3 linked regions of the Canis lupus familiaris genome follow. Each later gene encodes a partner of the first gene's protein in a complex. Links are inferred from orthologs where the notes say so. Each region holds a gene or a part of one and is shown on either strand. Other genes may lie near its edges. The genes, in order: GABARAPL1, NBR1 and STBD1.

What was found.
Region 2: the proteins of GABARAPL1 (region 1) and NBR1 are in contact, whole or in part, in an NMR structure (PDB 2L8J), measured with the Homo sapiens proteins. The link is inferred for Canis lupus familiaris from reciprocal best matches to the Homo sapiens genes GABARAPL1 and NBR1. Residues at the interface, in NP_113600.1 of Homo sapiens: Glu12, Tyr13, Lys16, Glu17, Lys20, Ile21, Lys24, Tyr25, Arg28, Pro30, Lys48, Tyr49, Leu50, Val51, Pro52, Phe104; in NP_005890.2 of Homo sapiens: Ser729, Glu730, Asp731, Tyr732, Ile733, Ile734, Ile735, Leu736.
Region 3: the proteins of GABARAPL1 (region 1) and STBD1 are in contact, whole or in part, in a crystal structure (PDB 8X8A), measured with the Homo sapiens proteins. The link is inferred for Canis lupus familiaris from reciprocal best matches to the Homo sapiens genes GABARAPL1 and STBD1. Residues at the interface, in NP_113600.1 of Homo sapiens: Glu17, Ile21, Tyr25, Asp27, Arg28, Pro30, Val31, Ile32, Lys46, Lys48, Tyr49, Leu50, Val51, Pro52, Asp54, Leu55, Gly58, Gln59, Phe62, Leu63, Arg67, Phe104; in NP_003934.1 of Homo sapiens: Glu201, Glu202, Trp203, Glu204, Met205, Val206, Pro207, Arg208, His209, Ser210, Gly213.

Annotation. Positions count from the first base shown.
Region 1 is NC_049248.1:10,351,231-10,357,101, forward strand, and holds the start of GABARAPL1 (gamma-aminobutyric acid receptor-associated protein-like 1), read left to right. Parts: upstream 1-2,302; 5' UTR 2,303-2,584; coding exon 2,585-2,674; intron 2,675-5,871. UniProt on the Homo sapiens protein: Ubiquitin-like modifier that increases cell-surface expression of kappa-type opioid receptor through facilitating anterograde intracellular trafficking of the receptor. Involved in formation of autophagosomal vacuoles.
Region 2 is NC_049230.1:19,814,331-19,819,440, reverse strand, and holds part of NBR1 (next to BRCA1 gene 1 protein), read left to right. Parts: intron 1-1,177; coding exon 1,178-1,369; intron 1,370-3,193; coding exon 3,194-3,271; intron 3,272-3,791; coding exon 3,792-4,006; intron 4,007-4,500; coding exon 4,501-4,668; intron 4,669-4,956; coding exon 4,957-5,110. UniProt on the Homo sapiens protein: Ubiquitin-binding autophagy adapter that participates in different processes including host defense or intracellular homeostasis.
Region 3 is NC_049253.1:39,245,448-39,251,356, reverse strand, and holds STBD1 (starch-binding domain-containing protein 1), read left to right. Parts: upstream 1-2,678; 5' UTR 2,679-2,707; coding exon 2,708-2,894; intron 2,895-4,437; coding exon 4,438-5,297; 3' UTR 5,298-5,474; downstream 5,475-5,909. UniProt on the Homo sapiens protein: Acts as a cargo receptor for glycogen. Delivers its cargo to an autophagic pathway called glycophagy, resulting in the transport of glycogen to lysosomes.

The sequences.
Region 1 (5,871 bases):
TGCTATAAACAGCTGTGTACAGGTTTTATGTGGACAGAGTTTTAAGTTTTGGGGGGTAAATACCAAGGGGAATGATTGATTGCTAGATCATATTGTAAGAGAATGTTTAGTTTTCTAAGAAACCACCAAATTGTCTTCCAAAGTGGCTATGCCATTTCCCATTCCTCTGAGTAATGAATGAGAATTCCTGAAATGTGAGCTTTTTAATATAGTATTTTGTCTCTGGTTAAAAAATGAATGTTGGATATTTTATCTGCTTAAATGTGTTAATGTATAAAATCACCTTTTGCATGTTTTAAACATCATGCTGATAATATAGAGAGCAAACTTTGGAAGATGACAGATTGTGTATTCCAAGATGAAGTATTAGCATTTACAAAAGGTTTGAGGTAGAAATATTAATGAAATTTTATCTTCAAATTATTTTTCACATATAAATTGCCATTGTGCTTAGGTATTCTTAAAATAAAAGTTAAAATAAGCATTTTAACTAGCTATGATTTGATCAGAGAAACAAACCTTTTTTTTTTTTTTTAAGATTTTATTTATTTATTCATGAGAGACACAGAGAGGCAGAGACATAGGCAGAGGGAGAAGCAGGCTCCCTGTGAGGAGCTGATGTGGGACTCCATCTCAGGACCCCAGGATCCCAACCTGAGCCAAAGGCAGATGCTCAACCAAGGAGTCACCCAGGTGTCCCAAGAACCACACCCTTAAAATATTCATCTCCATCACAATTATCTTTCTCAGCTGGTTGTAAAGTACTTCCTTTCAGAGATTTTAGCTATAGTGGGTCAAAACTAAAATGAGCTAACATTTGGTTGAAAATAAGGATTAAAAATTATAAACATATAATGTGATAGACTCGTTCCTGGGTTTTTATACTAAAGAGGACTGAAAGACATCATGGAGGAGAAATAATTAACGTCAAGAGGTAAGGCTATTGATCTTCATTTTCCTTTTTTCAATAATGAAACTTAGTTTCTTTTATTTTGTGGGTTTGTTTTTTAAACCAGAGACATGGGGACTGCTGTTGTATATTTATTTCAGAGCTCCCTGGACTTGATCAAAGCAAAGCGGTCCTTCCTCTCTCTTCTATACCTTTTACAATTTTCTCTGCCTTCCTCCTGCTGATCTACAATCCCTGGAATCACTGCCATTGGCAGTGGTTGGAAAGGCCTTAATTCTTCCATTCTTAGTGGGGCCAGGGGACGGCCAGAGGCAAGCGACAACGGCAGGTGGCCCACCAGTCTTCCACCAGCCCTTCGGGTGGCACTTTATTTCACCTTAGGGACACTTAACAAGTAGTACTATCCTCTGGTGAATTTTTGCAGAATAAAAACAGAAATGGGGGATCCCTGGGTGGCGCAGCGGTTTGGCGCCTGCCTTTGGCCCAGGGCGCGATCCTGGAGCCCCGGGATCGAATCCCACGTCGGGCTCCCGGTGCATGGAGCCTGCTTCTCCCTCTGCCTGTGTCTCTGCCTCTCTCTCTCTCTCTCTCTCTGTGACTATCATAAATAAATAAAAATTAAAAAAAAAAACAACAGAAATGTTTAAGAGGTACTTTGTGAACCACCTGAATTGCTTGGTTATTTTCTTTTCCAGAAGACAGGCCCACCCTCTGAGTTCGTAGGAGAAAGTGAATCATTTCTATATCGGAGCGTGAGCGACGCCCTCGGCAGCGATGACTGACATCACTTCTCAGGACCTTGACGACAAGCTTGCCCTTCAGCTTCTACATCTCAAATTCCTGAGTCATGCTCTGTTGTTGCTGCCGCTCTAGGAGCGAATTGCGGCAAGGACCCAAACAAAATGACGTGCGCGCGCGTGGTGAAGGAGGGTCACGGTCGGAGCGCGCCAGCCCAGCGCCCAGGAGCGGGGGTGCAGACGAGGAGCAAAGGGCACAGTGCAGGCACCGGGCACTTCCGTACCGGGCCAAAGGCACCCGACGACCCCCATTCTTTCTTCTCCTAGATTCCAGATCCCAATAAGCTGGAAAGAGCTCGATTTTCGCCCCCTGTGTTTGTTTTTGGATCCAACCAAGAAACAGCGAGCAAGAGGGAATAAGATATCTTTAGAACGTATTTTTTTTTTTTTTTTTTGCATCCAAACCACTTTTAATGTCACAGCCACACAACGAAATTCGAAGTAAAAAAGTTATATGTTCGCAATACTCCCGACGCAGGAGAGTTCGGACAGAGGGAGAGGGGAGCGCGCCGAACCGGACCGACTTTCGCCCTCCCCCCCCGCCCCCCGCTGCCGTCCGAAGGCTGGGGGCGGGGCGGGGAGGCGGGACGTCATGACGTCATAATACCAACGCGCCGCCGTGTTGTTTTTGTGCTCGAGGCTCCGGGGAAAATCCGCCGGGATTTCTCCACCTGAGCGACTCCGTCTTGCGTCCGAGGGGACCCGACGTCCCTTCTGCAAGCTCTGCCAAGGCGCGTGGCGACGGGAGCTGACGTTTCTCAGGCGGTTCTGACACCTACATCGAAATTCGGCAGGGGGAGGCGAGGCGGGAGAGACGCAGCCACCCGCGAGGAAGGCAGGCCCCGGCCGGGGAATCTTAGAAACCCTGCGGTCCATCATGAAGTTCCAGTACAAGGAGGACCATCCCTTTGAATATCGGAAAAAGGAAGGAGAAAAAATCCGGAAGAAATATCCGGACAGGGTCCCTGTGAGTGTAATGGGGGGCAGGGAAGAGGAGGGGGGAAGGGGCTGAGCGCGCTTGGGGGAACCCGGGAGTCGTGGTGGCTGCCCTGAGGCACAGAAGAGGGGTGGTCTCTAGGGTTGCTGAGCCCCTGGAGAGCCGTGGAGCGCACGTCCTGATTGCGGACCCTGCACGGCCCGTCTCCCCGGGGCCGCTCTCCCCGTCATCTTTAGAGCGGAGCCTCCGTTTGAGTGACTCAGCAGTATTCAGAGGATGTGCAGGGTGAGAAGTGACCAGAACGTGGCCCTTTAGTGAGAGCAGGATCGAGATGGGACCATACATTCGCGTCCTTCAGAATCCCAGGGAAATTGTTCTGGAAATAACTTGGTGCAGTGAGGTTTGCGGCCATGGATTTCTGCCTTCGATGCGTCTCCCTGAAGTTGACTTTGGCTCTCAGAACATTGGGTTTGGGAGGGATAGATTCAGAAATCAGTGGATCCTTTCTTTTATTCCATAAGAATGAGAAAAGTGTCTTTGTTGGGGGGGGGGGGAGGGGAGGGCACGAGACAGGCCTGGCCCAGAAAACAAGGTCACGTTCTCTGCGCCACAGCCCGATTGCCTCATCATTCTTGGCTCCAGGGGCTTGTGAGGGTGCAGCCAGCCTCCCTCCTGTACTTATTCTATCAGATTGTACCTGGACACAACCATGAAGGACTGGGGCCTTTTGCTTCCGTCTTGGAAGCTGGTTTCTGTGGTTAAAATTAGTGCCGGCAGTGGGGAGAACAGAGAAACATTAAGGTAGCTTTCTGCATCCGGGCGCTTTTTTCGTCGCCCCATCCCCCGCCGCTTGCCTGTTTTTTTTTTTTTTTTTTTTTTTGTAATGTAGGCTGCGCAGCCAGATTGGAAGGCAGAAGACTTTTGAGTGTGGTGGTAGAGGGAACAACCACCGTTGGGTTTTGGAGATGGAGGAGCAGAGGCTGTCAGATTGTACTATCTTCAGGCAGGGACATTGGGATAAAGATGACGTATTATGTACAGGCAAAGTAATTGTGATTATGTGTTGTCAGTTCTTGACCTGCAGGTACTCTTTGGGACTCTTCTCCAATCCTTACCTAATTTTCATCGTGTTACAGCTACTGGAAGCAACTTGGGCCTTAATGCCTGCAGTAAAACTCCCCTGCAGTCCTTTATAAGGAAGCGAGACTTTAGGTCTGTTCCATTCCCCACGAATTGTACACAAGGGTTTTCAGCTAAAAAGGAGATCTAGCTCTATTACCCACCCAGTAAATGATCCTTCACAAATTACTTGTTTGGTATCTGGACTTTGGGTGACAGCTTCAAAAGTTTGCCCCAATTGTGGTGGTAGCAAGCCTCCTTTCGTCTAATAGTTAAAAATGACAACTAACTTTCATTGGTTGATTGTTTGCTCTATACTGACAGTATTGCATGTCCTCTGACCTTACTCAATCTTCACACCGTTATAATCCCATTCTACAGATGAAGGATCTGAAGCACAGAGAAATGACGGATTCCTAAAGGTTTCCTGTGGCTGGTGTGTGGCAGAGCCTGAGATTCCAACTCTGGTTGTTGGACCTTCCATGCCATATCGTTTCTCAATTTCTAATACAATTCTCTTAATTAAGAATTAAGGAAAATTAATCTCAGAATTAATTAAGGAGGCACTGTGTGACTCACACTGTTAGGTATTGGAAATTAAGAAAAAACATTGCAGCCCTAGAAAGGTCAGAGAAGTATGATGCCAGAAAGGTAACCCACTGAGCAAAATGACTACCATTTATTCAGAACAGTATGAGGCTCTGTTCCAGTAGCTCTGCCTAAGCCACAAACTCTGAAAGGTACCTGTTCCTAAATCTAGTTAAAATTCCCATGTATTTCTTCAAAACCGAGCCCTTGCCATTTCAGTCTCTTACATGCATTCACCCAGAGTATTTCAGCTAATCTTCCCTATTCTTTTCCTGCTCATTGTTTGGTGTTAAAAATGTTTGGCCTGTGTGATTACTTGTCAGCTCTTAGAATCATCACTCAGGTCTCATGGTTCCTTCAGTTGGGTTTTAACCAGTTTATAAGCGTTCCAGCTGCTCCTTAGGTGCTCAGCCTGTGACCTTCTTTGTGGTCGTGATGCAGGAAGAAGAGCTCTGCTCTCTGAGTTGTGAGATTTAGTTTTGGGCCAGATCCTTAATCTTGCTGTACTAAAGTGTACAGAAAAGAGGGTTAGTGTAAGTGATTTCTAAAACCCCTTCCAGCTGGGCCATTGGTATTTACCAAAGCAATCAGGTTCCCTGACTGCTCACATAACTCAGTTTTAGTTAGGCCCCTCCTTATCTCTTAGCTACCATCCAAAAGAATGGATGTGCTCCTGCCTTGAGAGGAAAGGTTTTCTTTGGATCTTAAAGTATCTGCATAGCTACAGTGTATTGAAAACCTTCAACACTGCAGGAAACTGTTAGGGACATATTGTCTATTCTTTAAAATTTGTAAAAGCCCTTGTGGAATATTGGCCGTATTGCACAGAAGAAAAAAACACGTCGAGAACCAAAGAGGAAAAGCATCTAGTCCAGGGCCTATGAGTAGAGTTGGGGTTGTTGGAAACCTAAGATATTTTCTGGTAAGCCAAGGCCTTAATGATTACCCATCCCCCTCCTGTTCATCTCCAAATCCCAACCTCCTGTCTGGATATCTTATTTGCAGTATATTTTATTGCCTCTTTTTCTGCTCTCTTTTTGTGGTTTCTGTCACTTCTTACTGATGGGAGCGGGAGGTCTCAGGGTTCCTTTGGGAAACAGTGTTAGGCTCCCTCTCTTTCCCTTTGCTTTTTTATTAACCTGATGCCTCCTGTCCATCCTCATTGTTGGGCCTTCACTGGTCTATCCCTGAACTTCTTCCTACTTTTTCTTTTAAATTTCTGATTCACGTATTTTTTTTTCTGGTTTTCACTTCTAAATTTTTAGAGGGATCATGTCCCTTCAGTCTTCCTGGTTCAGGATTCTTTTTCTCCAGAAACACAAAATAATGTTTTTTACTCCTTTTATGTGTTCCCTTTCATTTAAAAGCTTCAAGCCTCCAAGTCTCTCCTCTTAAATCGTTCCTTTTATTAAGATAATTCTTCATAATTTACAAAACATTTTCACATAAAATTTTATGGATTACTCAAAGTTACTGTAGGAGTACCATGACTGTAGAAGATATATTGGAAAGTTTCATCT
Region 2 (5,110 bases), on another chromosome or scaffold:
TAGTCACAGAGAGAGAGAGAGAGAGGCAGAGACACAAGCAGAGGGAGAAGCAGGCTCCATGCACCGGGAGCCCGACGTGGGATTCGATCCCGGGTCTCCAGGATCGCGCCCTGTGCCAAAGGCAGGCGCCAAACCGCTGCGCCACCCAGGGATCCCTTTATGGACATTTTTACATAGTATTTGCTATATGATACTTAAGATCCCATGTTTATATTTTGACACATTTCATTGTAGTGATTTCTTGAGCAATTTTTTTCCACAGATGTACCATACACTTTACTACCAGCTTCTTGGCTTATGGTCTAGAATAAGGGTTGGCAAACTAGCCAGTGGGCCAGCCATATGCTTTTGTAAATAAAGTTTCAGTGGAACCCAGCCATGCCGACTACATACTGTCTGTGGCTGCTTTTGTGCAGACTTGAGCAGAAACCATATGGCCTGCAAGCCTAAAATATTTACGTGACCCTTTAAGAAAATTTGCTGATCCCCATCTTAAAATAATACCTTTCAAACTTTTTGGCCATAGAATGCTATTTTTAAATGGAAGCTTAAAAGTCTGATGTGTAAAAATAGATAAAAGAACTGTTCTCCTTATCACTGGCTTACAAAGGGGGAGAGCTAAAACTGATAGACTTGACCCCTAATCTCTTTCTGGACACTGGAGAACCTTCATGGAACCTCAAATGTACTTCAAGTAGAGTTTTCAAAATAGGATTTTTAAGAAGATGCTCTTTCAAAAGAGGTAACCACTCAACCATGCTTCCCGAAATACTATTGGAAAAATAAATGCTTAGTTATAGGATATAACTTTAAGTTTCTTGGGTTCTGGTAGTCTAGGATTGATTTTTTTTTAAAGTTGGAATTCAAATCCATAAGTGGGGTCCTACATAAAAACCAGTTTAACAGAAAAGTATTAACCTAGTCAGTGAGAATATCTCACATAATAAAGTGCTATCCTAAATCTACTTTTGTGTTTTTGATAATAAAACCATTCCTAGTTAACATTTTGGGTAAAAAACAGTGGGCTATTACATGTTATATACCATGTGATTTAATAAAGGTAAATCCTGGTATTTTCAGCATAATTCACCATACCTGTTCTGTTTAAATGTCTTTGAGATTTCATTTGGGAAAGAAGAATCACACAATGTTTTTATTTCATACCATTTGCTTTCAGATGGCAGTTAAGCAGGGAAACCAACTGCAGATGCAAGTCCACGAAGGCTCCCGTGTTGATGAAGCCCCACCACCAGCTGTACCAGAAAAACGGCCAGTCTTGAGGGCAGGGAAGAAGCCACTTGCACATTATTCGTCACTAGTGAAGGTCTTAGGATCAGACATGAAGACCCCAGAGGAGCCTGCAGCACAGGTATGAAGGGAACAGGACCTGTCTCTACAATTTTTCTAGCCTTCTGTCTCATTGTCTCCGGTATAACATTTGAATTGTGCATTAAAGATTTGGGAATTATTGTTACCATCTCTGCCTGACTTTTTTTTTTTTCTTTTTTAAGATTTTATGTATTTATTCATGAGAGACCACATAGAGGCAGAGACACAGGCAGAGGGAGGAGGCTCCATGCAGGAAACCAGATGCAGGACTTGATCCCAGGATCCCGGGATCATTCCCTGAGCCAAAAACAGATGCTCAACCGCTGAGCCACCCAGGCATCCCTTTTTTATTTTTTTTAATTTATTTATTTATTAATGATAGAGTCAGAGACATAGGCAGAGGGAGAAGCAGAGCCTAGTGAGAGACTCCATCCCGGGACTCAGGGATCATGCCCTGAGCCAAAGGCAGATGCTAAACCACTGAGCCACCCAGGCATCCCTTAATTTTATTTATTTATTTGAGGGGGAGAATAGAGAGCACAAGCGGGGAGGGCCGGAGAGAGGGGCAGAGGGAGAAGCAGACTCCTTGCTGAACAGGGAGCCCAATATAGAGCTTGGTCTCAGAACCTCAAGATCATGTCCTGAGCCAAAGGCAGATGCCCCTCTGCCTATTTGAAACTGGTAACTGGGGATGCCTGGGTGACTCAGTCAGTTGGGTATCTGCCTTCGGCTCAGGACCCTGGGATTAAGCCCCAAGTTGGGCTCCTTGCTCAGTGTGGAGCCTGCTTCTCCCTCTGCCTGCCACTCCCCATTGCTTGTGTTCTCTCTCTCTCTGTATCTCTGACAAGTGAATGAAAAAAAATCTTTAAAAAAAGAAAAGATGGGATCCCTGGGTGGCGCAGTGGTTTGGCGCCTGCCTTTGGCCCAGGGCGCGATCCTGGAGACCCGGGATCGAATCCCACGTCGGGCTCCCTGCATGGAGCCTGCTTCTCCCTCTGCCTGTGTCTCTGCCTCTCTCTCTCTCTCTCACTATCATAAATAAATAAAAATTAAAAAAAAAAAAAAAAAAAAGAAAAGAAGGGCAGCCCCCATGGCGCCGTGGTTTAGCGCCGCCTGCAGCTTGGGGTGTGATACTGGAGACCTAGGATGGAGTCCCATGTCAGGCTCCCTGCATGGAGCCTGCTTCTCCCTCTGCCTGTGTCTCTGCCCCTCCCTCCCTCCCTCTCTCTCTCTCTCTCTCTCTCTGCCTCTCTATCTCTCTGTCTCTCTATGAATAAATAAATAAAATCTTTAAAAAAATAAAAATAAATTAAATAAAAAAGAAAAAAACTAACTGGTTACACTTCTGGAGAGAGGACAATAGGATGATAAACTTTATTTTCCTTGTATGCTTCTTCATACCTTTTAAAAATATTTTATTTATTTTCTTAATTTGAGTGAGAGAGCACAAGTGGAGGGGAGGGAGAGGGAGAAGTAGGCTCCCCACTGAGCAGAGAGCCCCACATGGGGCTTGATCCCAGGTCTCTGGGATCATGGACCTGAGCTGAAGGCAGACACTCACTGAGCCAACCAGGCATCCTTTATTAGGTTTTTTTTTGCCATATGTTTATATTATTTGACAAAAAAGAAACCTCAAAGTACTACATTTCAGGAAATATTTTTTTCAGGAAAATTATTTTAAATAGGGTGCCTGGCTGGCTCAGTTGGTAGAATATGCGACTCTTATCTCAGGGTTGTGAGGTCGAACCCCACATTGGGTATAGAGATTACTTAAAAAAAATTTAAAATCTTTTTTAAAAAATAGTTATTTCAAACAGAAGAAAAAAATATTTTCTCTAAGATCTTGGGTTGTGTTTCCTTGCAGCGGTTTCCACTTGCTCCCCGCGACACAGACCAGCCTCAGGACAAGCCCCCAGACTGGTTCACAAGCTACCTGGAGACAGTGAGTGTTCTCTCTGGAGTAGGCTTTAGCAGCTGTGTTGGCACAGGTGAAGTGTGGGAGAAATAGAAAGCTCAACCCACACGGCTGCTGCCTCTGGGGCAGATGAATGAAGAGTATAGCTAATCATTTCTAAACTAGAGCAAATCTAGTCCAGAAAGTTCCTAACTTCTACAGGGATGTATCAGAAAAAGAGGGAGCCTTATTCTAAGGATGTAAGGGAAAGGAACAAATCTCTGTGCTTAGGTAAGAAGGAAGGAAGAGGTTAGAAACCTACTCATCACAATGATTTTTTCTGGTATCCTCAGTGTACCCATGGAAAGAATAGACCTTCTTTTGTTACATTTCTTTTTTTTTTTTTTTTTTTTTTGTTACATTTCTGTCCATTTGTTCAGTAGTTAGTAGCTGTTTATGATGTTCTTACACCAGAGATGGTGAGGTGTCTGGTCTATTTGGTATCTTCAGACTTTTTTCCAATGTTGGAACTGAGGTTTTTTTCCCGTTAATCTGTTCTGTATTCTAGTTCCGAGAACAAGTAGTTAAAGAAACGGTTGAGAAACTTGAACAGAAATTACATGAGAAGCTTGTCCTCCAGAACCCGTCCTTGGGTTCCTGTCCATCAGAAGGCTCAATGCCCATTTCAGAGGAAACGCTGTTTTTGCCAGAAAACCAGTTCAACTGGCGTATTGCTTGCAACAGCTGCCAAAGGAGGATCATTGGTGTGCGCTACCAGTGCAGGTAAGCACTCACTTTGGAATGCATACATGTTAGAAGACCTCTGAACAGGCCTTCCTGGCATCTGGAGAGGTAGCAGAAAATTGGGCATACTCTGTCTCTGGATATCACACATAGATACCTGCTCTGGATTAGAAATAAGCTGTTTGTCACCCACAAAAAATACTATACAAAGGTTAACTATTCAGATTGTTGTTGTATTCACATATGCATTTGAACTAACAGAACTAGACAAATTATGTTCCCCAAGGCAAAATTACATCATCAGGGATTATCACCCTGTTATTCCAAATGCTTTCATATTTTGCTTCCTCCCATAGATTGTCCTTTGAAACAGATACATGTTAAATGCTGTTACTTTCATTTTATTAATAAGGAAACTTGAGATAGAGCATGGCCAGGTGACATGCTCAGGTTACCACACCCAGCTGATAATACAGCCAGTATGGAAGTCTGGTCTCCTGTGTCACCAGGACTTGTCATGCTTTTCCCCACAGCCTGTGCCCATCCTATAATATCTGTGAAGATTGTGAATCGGGGCCATATACCCATGACTCCAACCACATCCTGCTGAAGTTGCGGAGACCTGTGATGGGTTCTTCTGAAGCGTTCTCTCACCCAAGGTTCCCTGGCCCTCGTCTTCCTGCTGCTCTGGAACAAGCCAGGTAAAAACATAAGTACACAGGAGGCTTGTTCTCTGATGGGTGTCTCCATTGTGATGGGGCAGGGATCAAATTGCAGACAGTCTACTTAGTTCCTGTGCATTTCTAGTTATGTGTGATAATGGGGACAATGAGCTGAAGCTAATGAGACAGAAACGAGAACTGTAGAAAGAAGTTAAGCTAGAAGCTGGCACTGATGGAGGCTACCAGTGGCTCAAGATAGCTTCAATATTTGTGAGGTTTTGGGTTTTTTTTTTTTTTTTTTAAGACTTTTTATTTGTTACCTCACAGGCTCCAGAAACAGGTCGACAAGAATTTTCTTAAAGCAGAAAAGCAAAGGTTGCGAGCGGAGAAGAAACAACGAAAGGCAGAGGTCAAAGAACTCAAAAAACAGCTTAAGCTCCACAGGAAGATTCATCTGTGGAGTTCCATCCATGGACTCCAG
Region 3 (5,909 bases), on another chromosome or scaffold:
ATACATATATATACTTAAAATATATAAGTATACTTAATATATAAACTTAAAATACCCATCCATATCTATATCTATTTATACTCTTCCTAATAGAATAGTAATCAATTAGAAAGTGGGCACTACATTATGGCCCCTAAAATATAACATAAAGATATAATAGCAACATAAGTGGCAATAGGGATGCAGCTTTCCAATCTTCTTGAAATTATGCCAATGGCTGAAGCTCATTTTTTTCTTTTGTAACATTACTGCTACCTCTCTGTGAGGAATTTCCAATATCTCATTAAACTACATGCCCCCAGTTTCAGCTTCCTGCTATTGCCTCAAATTTAACCCATCCCGGGAGAATGCATCATCTTCCTCCCCTGTTTCTACTGAATCTGCCTTTCTCTTCTGTTTCTGTCTTCCTAGGCTCAAAGGACTTCTATATAAAAGCAACAATGTTTGCAACTGTATCGTGATAAACATGGTACAGTTACTGTGGAAAACATGTTTTTAGAATATGTAGCCAAAGACTTCTAAGAAATATGGCAGTGAGTGGAGTACTGCCTTTATTTTTTTTTAAAGCAGCAACACAGAAATCAATGAGTCAACATTTAAGTTTAGAAAAGCCAAAAGGAAAGACAAATAATGTTCTTTTAAAATGTTGCATGAGAAATATGATGCAAGATAGAAAGAATTCTGATGGGTGGAAAGAACTACATCATTTACTGGTTATATTTTTAATAAATAGCGATTGATGACAATAAACTTTTACTAAGAGCCTTCTAGTTATTAGAAATGGATAGTGGGGCTTGCTTTCTCTGATTTTACAGATCCGTTGAGGTTTCATTTGTGAGCACAATTGATAAAGAAACTTTGACCAATGAAGCAGCTCACAAAGTTATCCGTGAGGAAATAAAAAGAAAATGTTCAAGAATTTTCATACTATATGTAAAATCACTCTACTTGTTTTAGAGTTTGTAAAATTCAAGGACATCCTATGACATTAAGTTTTACTTTGACAAAAGGAGATAAATTCTAAAATTTTCTACAAAATTCTGACCATTAAACAATTAGAGCTATAATAGTCTTATGACTTAAGAATGAATTAGTAAGAGTCCATGAGAATGTTATTTTATTTTATTATTTATTTTTATTTTTTATTTATTTATTTATTTTAATATTTTTTTTAATTTTTATTTATTTATGATAGTCACACAGAGAGAGAGAGAGAGAGGCAGAGACACAGGCAGAGGGAGAAGCAGGCTCCATGCAGGGAGGCCGAGGCCGATGGGGGACTCGATCCCACGACCCTGGGGTCACACCCTGGGCCAAGGCAGATGCTCAACCGCTGGGCCACCCAGGCGCCCGGAGGAGTAGGATTCTTAATGTGGGATTTTGCAGAGAGAGCAGCAGCTGGCTCCTTCCTGCCTACTGTGAGGGGGAGAGCAGTAGCCGAGGGCGACTGGACATTGCTGGGGTCTGCTCCTGGGGAGGGTGTGGCTGCCACGTCGTCGTCGGGCTGCCGGGGCTGCCCCCGCGGGGTTGGGGAGGAGGTGGGAGGTCACACTCCAGGGAGTTGGGCTTGGGCGGCTGCCAGCGTCCCGGAAGCCGGCCCGGGCTCCTTCCCCCCTTGCCTCGCCCCGTCCCTTAGCCTCTGCGGGCGTCGTGGCCGACCCGGGGGAGGCACGGCCCGGCCCTGCAGGACCTGGGCCAGGGCTGCCGTGTGCCCGAACCTGGGGCCCCTTTGAACGATCTGCTTTGCCAGAGGGAGCCCCTCCGTTCGGTCTCCCCGGGCGGCATTGCCCGCGGGCCGCAGCAGTTGGTGCAGAAGCGCGTGCGCGTCGGGCGAAGGGCTCCAGCTGCACACGCGGGCGAGGGGAGGACGAGCTGGAAGTTCTTTTCTCGCGCGGTTGTTGGGTTTGCGAGGGTCTGGTTACGCTCGCACTTCACCGCAGCGCTTAACAAAGAGGGCCGCGAGTTTTATGAGAAAACCCATCCGTGGGATCCCCGCGGGGCGCAGCGGTTTGGCGCCTGCCTTTGGCCCAGGGCGCAATCCTGGAGACCCGGGATCGAATCCCACGTCGGGCTCCCGGTGCATGGAGCCTGCTTCTCCCTCTGCCTGTGTCTCTGCCTCTCTCTCTCTCTCTCTCTCTGTGACTATCATAAATAAATAAAAATTAAAAAAAAATTAAGAAGAGCTTTCTCGGGATCCCTGGGTGGCGCAGCGGTTTGGCGCCTGCCTTTGGCCCAGGGCGCGATCCTGGAGACGCGGGATCGAATCCCACGTAGGGCTCCCGGTGCATGGAGCCTGCTCCTCCCTTTGCCTGTGTCTCTGCCTCTCTCTCTCTCTCTCTGTGACTATCATAAATAAATAAAAATTAAAAAAAAAAGCCCACCCGTGGGAGCTCGTCCCTGCCGTGCGCAGTGCGGACCGGAGCGCACGCAGTTTGCAGCCAGCACACCCCAGAGCGGTCGAGGGAGGAGCCAGGACTGGACGTGGCTGCGACGAGCGGCCCTGGTGGTGGATGCTCTCGTCGCCCGGGCGGGGCTCCCGAGGCTGTGCCCGCCCTGCCCCGGCCCCGCCCCTGGAGAGTCCGCGGGAGGAGGCGCCCGGGGCCCGGCGAGGTCGGGACGCAGCGCGGGGCGGGGCGGGGGCGGCTGTGCCCGCGGCCGAGGCGCGTCCGGGCGCCGTGGTCCCCGCAGCGGCCGCCTGGCCTCCGCCATGGGCGCCGTGTGGTCCGCCCTGCTGGTCGGGGGCGGCCTGGCCGGCGCGATCTTCGTCTGGCTGCTGCGGGACGCGGCGGCCGAGGGCGACTCGGAGCGGCAGGACGCGGCCCCGGGGGGCGCCCGGCGCGGCGGCGGGGGACTGAGCTGCGGACCGCCCGGGCGGGAGCCGGCCGCCTCGCCAGGTACTGCCCCCCACGGCCGCAGGGCCCGCCGGCTCGGGGCTCCGGGGCCGCGGGGCGGGGCGGAAACCGCGGGGTCCCCGCCGGCCCCGCCAGGGGGATGCGCACCTGCGCTGGGGCGCTCGGGGCGCTCGGGGCGCTCGGGGCGCTCGGGCGGCTGCGCCCAGGTTCAGGGGTCCCGCGACCCCCTTCAGCTCTCCCGCCCCAGCCCCAAGGCCCACGGCCCCTCCCCGCGCCCCGCGGAAGGGCCGGGCCCGGGAACCCCAGGCCGTGGGCACCTCCCGCCGCCCGGGAGGCAGGGCCCGGGCTGGACCCCGGCCACGGAGGCCTCGGCTGAGCCGCAGAGCAGAGCCCCGGAACGGGCCCACCTAACAGGGCATCCAGCCCCAGCGACCAGGACTGACAGCCGGTTCACGTGTGTGCATGTTGGCGACTGCGTGACCGCGAGTAAGGGGAGGAAGGCCGCTGGCAGAAGCCCCAGCCTCCAGGGCGCGCCTGGACTCCGACCCATTGGTGAAAACGACATCTGGGAACTTTATTTTTAGTGGAGTCAGTGTTCATGTGGAGCCATCCGAGACTCTGCCTCTGTGCCTTCCCCACAGCTGGTGTGGGACGAGCAGGGAGCTCATGTATCTTCTTCTGAAAGCCAGCCTCATGTTTTAGGTTGGAAGATGAGGAATTCAGGGTAATGTTCGTGTCTCACGACTCCATTAAAAAGAGACAAAATTAAACAAGGCCAAACCCTCACAGACCGCCTCCCCCCCCATCCGTGCTGATTGTATGACTTTGGAGATTTCGGTCTTGTAGGGAGCTATTCCGACGGAGAGTGAGGCGTCCAAGAAGGAAACCGAGCCTTTAGGGAGCTTGGATCGTGTAACTGCGAGAACATTTTTTTTTAAAAAAGTGAACAGTCCCTGTGGGGATGCAAAAAGCCTATTTTTGTTGAAGATATTCCTAACGCATATGGGGTTGGCAAAGAGAAACCAGTCCTCTTCCCCCACCAGCACCCCCAACTCTTGCACAATGACTCACCACTGTTCCTTGTATTCCCCCACAGTGTCAGCTGCTGGGGGTCTGCCCACATCTGTGAGAGCCGATCCCCAGCGTGCATGCAGTTCCTGGGAGTGCAAGTGTACTCTTAGGGTCCGTAGGGTAGCCATGCGGATCTCTGCCGGAACAACAGTTTTTGATGATAGAAGCAGAACAATGTGGCTGCATGCCAGTACGGTCTGGACTGTGGGGATTGAGGACCACGACAGGGTCACAAGTCTGCTTCTACACTTGCCACTTCATTTACACTCTTGGGTGGGCACACTGATGCTCCCGGATATGCCTTTTATTACTGGATACACATGCATATTCTTAAAGTACACTGTTGGTGCAGTTAGTGTCTGAACTGGGTAATTAAGTACTTGCTTTGAATCGAGATGGATTTTGTGAACTGCAGATAGATTAATGATAAAGTCTTCAACAACTAAATCTATTTTCCCAGCCTTTTTTCTCGCAAGAACTGCCTAACACTATTACATTTTTCCTTTTGTTTTAGAGCATCTTCAAGAAAGCAATGGATGTTTGGTTTCAGAGACCAAAGGCCATGGTAACTTGCAGGAAGCAGCACGGAGACTGCAGAGTCCTTCTGGAAAAGACAGTGGTTGCAACAGTTCAAGAGAGCATGTTCCTTCTGGAGGGTTTCCAGCCACAGAATCTCTAGCTGCATCTGAGACTGGTAACTCTCGGGGTTACTCTGAAGTTTCAAGAAATGAAAGCCTTGAATCTGCTATAAGAGAATGGGGATTCCAGAAAGGACAAGAGACACTTGCTAATGTAGCTTCCTGTTTTGCAGAAAAGTTGTATTCTAGCAACCTGGTCATTGACAGAGCGAAGGAAGTGAGCCTTGCACAGCTGAGCAATCAGGACCGGGCTGACAATGAGGACTGGGAAATGGTGTCCAGGCACTCATCCTGGGGAGATGCTGCTTTGGGTGGCAGCCTTGAGGCTCCAGTGGTAAGCCCAAACCAGGAAATGGACTGTGGCAGAAGCACTCTTATGGAACCAAGAGGTCAGGAAGTGGATGTGAAACGGAAAAAGGTAGTAGCGGTGGTTTCGGGGTCCCAGCAAGTTAGCATCAGGTTCCAGATCCATTATATCACAAGCACTGGTAAGCAGTGTATTGCGATCACTGGAGATCACAAGAGTCTTGGAAGGTGGAGTACCTACCTCCCACTCCAGTATAGCAAGGATGGGTTCTGGTGTCGTTCTGTGTCCCTGCCTGCAGATACAGTGGTGGAATGGAAGTTTGTAGTCGTAGAAAATGGGGAGATTACCCGCTGGGAAGAATGTAGCAATAGGTTCCTGGAGACTGGTCGTGAGGATAAAGTGGTACAAAAGTGGTGGGGGATTCCCTGATTGTTTTCAAAGTAGTGGAGAAGCTGTTGTAGAATCTGGAAAAGGCTAAGTTTGTGGGGCACACTGAATAATTTTAAATAAAGTAGAACTCCAAATTTAGCCATCAGAGTTGTTTCAAATTTGCCAGTGGCTTGCATCTGACGTGCAGAAATATAATGTAGATGATGCTTCCAGTGAGCGTGGACTTTTTTTTTCCTGTGGTGTTGATGGGTGGATTTTCGCTGATCCATGGTTACTTCAGGGCTTGGTCCTCTTGGGGAATGACTTGGCTAAGCTTCTGGTGTGGACTGGCCTGGGCGTAGCAAAACCAACTGGCTGCCCAGGGTTCAAGCTTGAGCCTTTGGGTGGGTAATCCTTAAACCCGGGGAGTGAAACAAGTCTCATTCAAAAAGAGCTGCTTTCCTATTGGTACAACTGGAGAAACTCTCTTACTACATGCACAACTTTTTTTTTTTTTTTTTAAGATTTTATTTATTCATGAGAGAGAGAGAGAGAGAGGGAGAGGCAGAGACACAGGCGGAGGGAGAAGCAGGCTCCATGCAGGGAGCCCGATGTGGGACTCGATCCCGGGTCTCCAGGATCAGGCCCTGGGCTGAAGGTGGCGCTAAACTG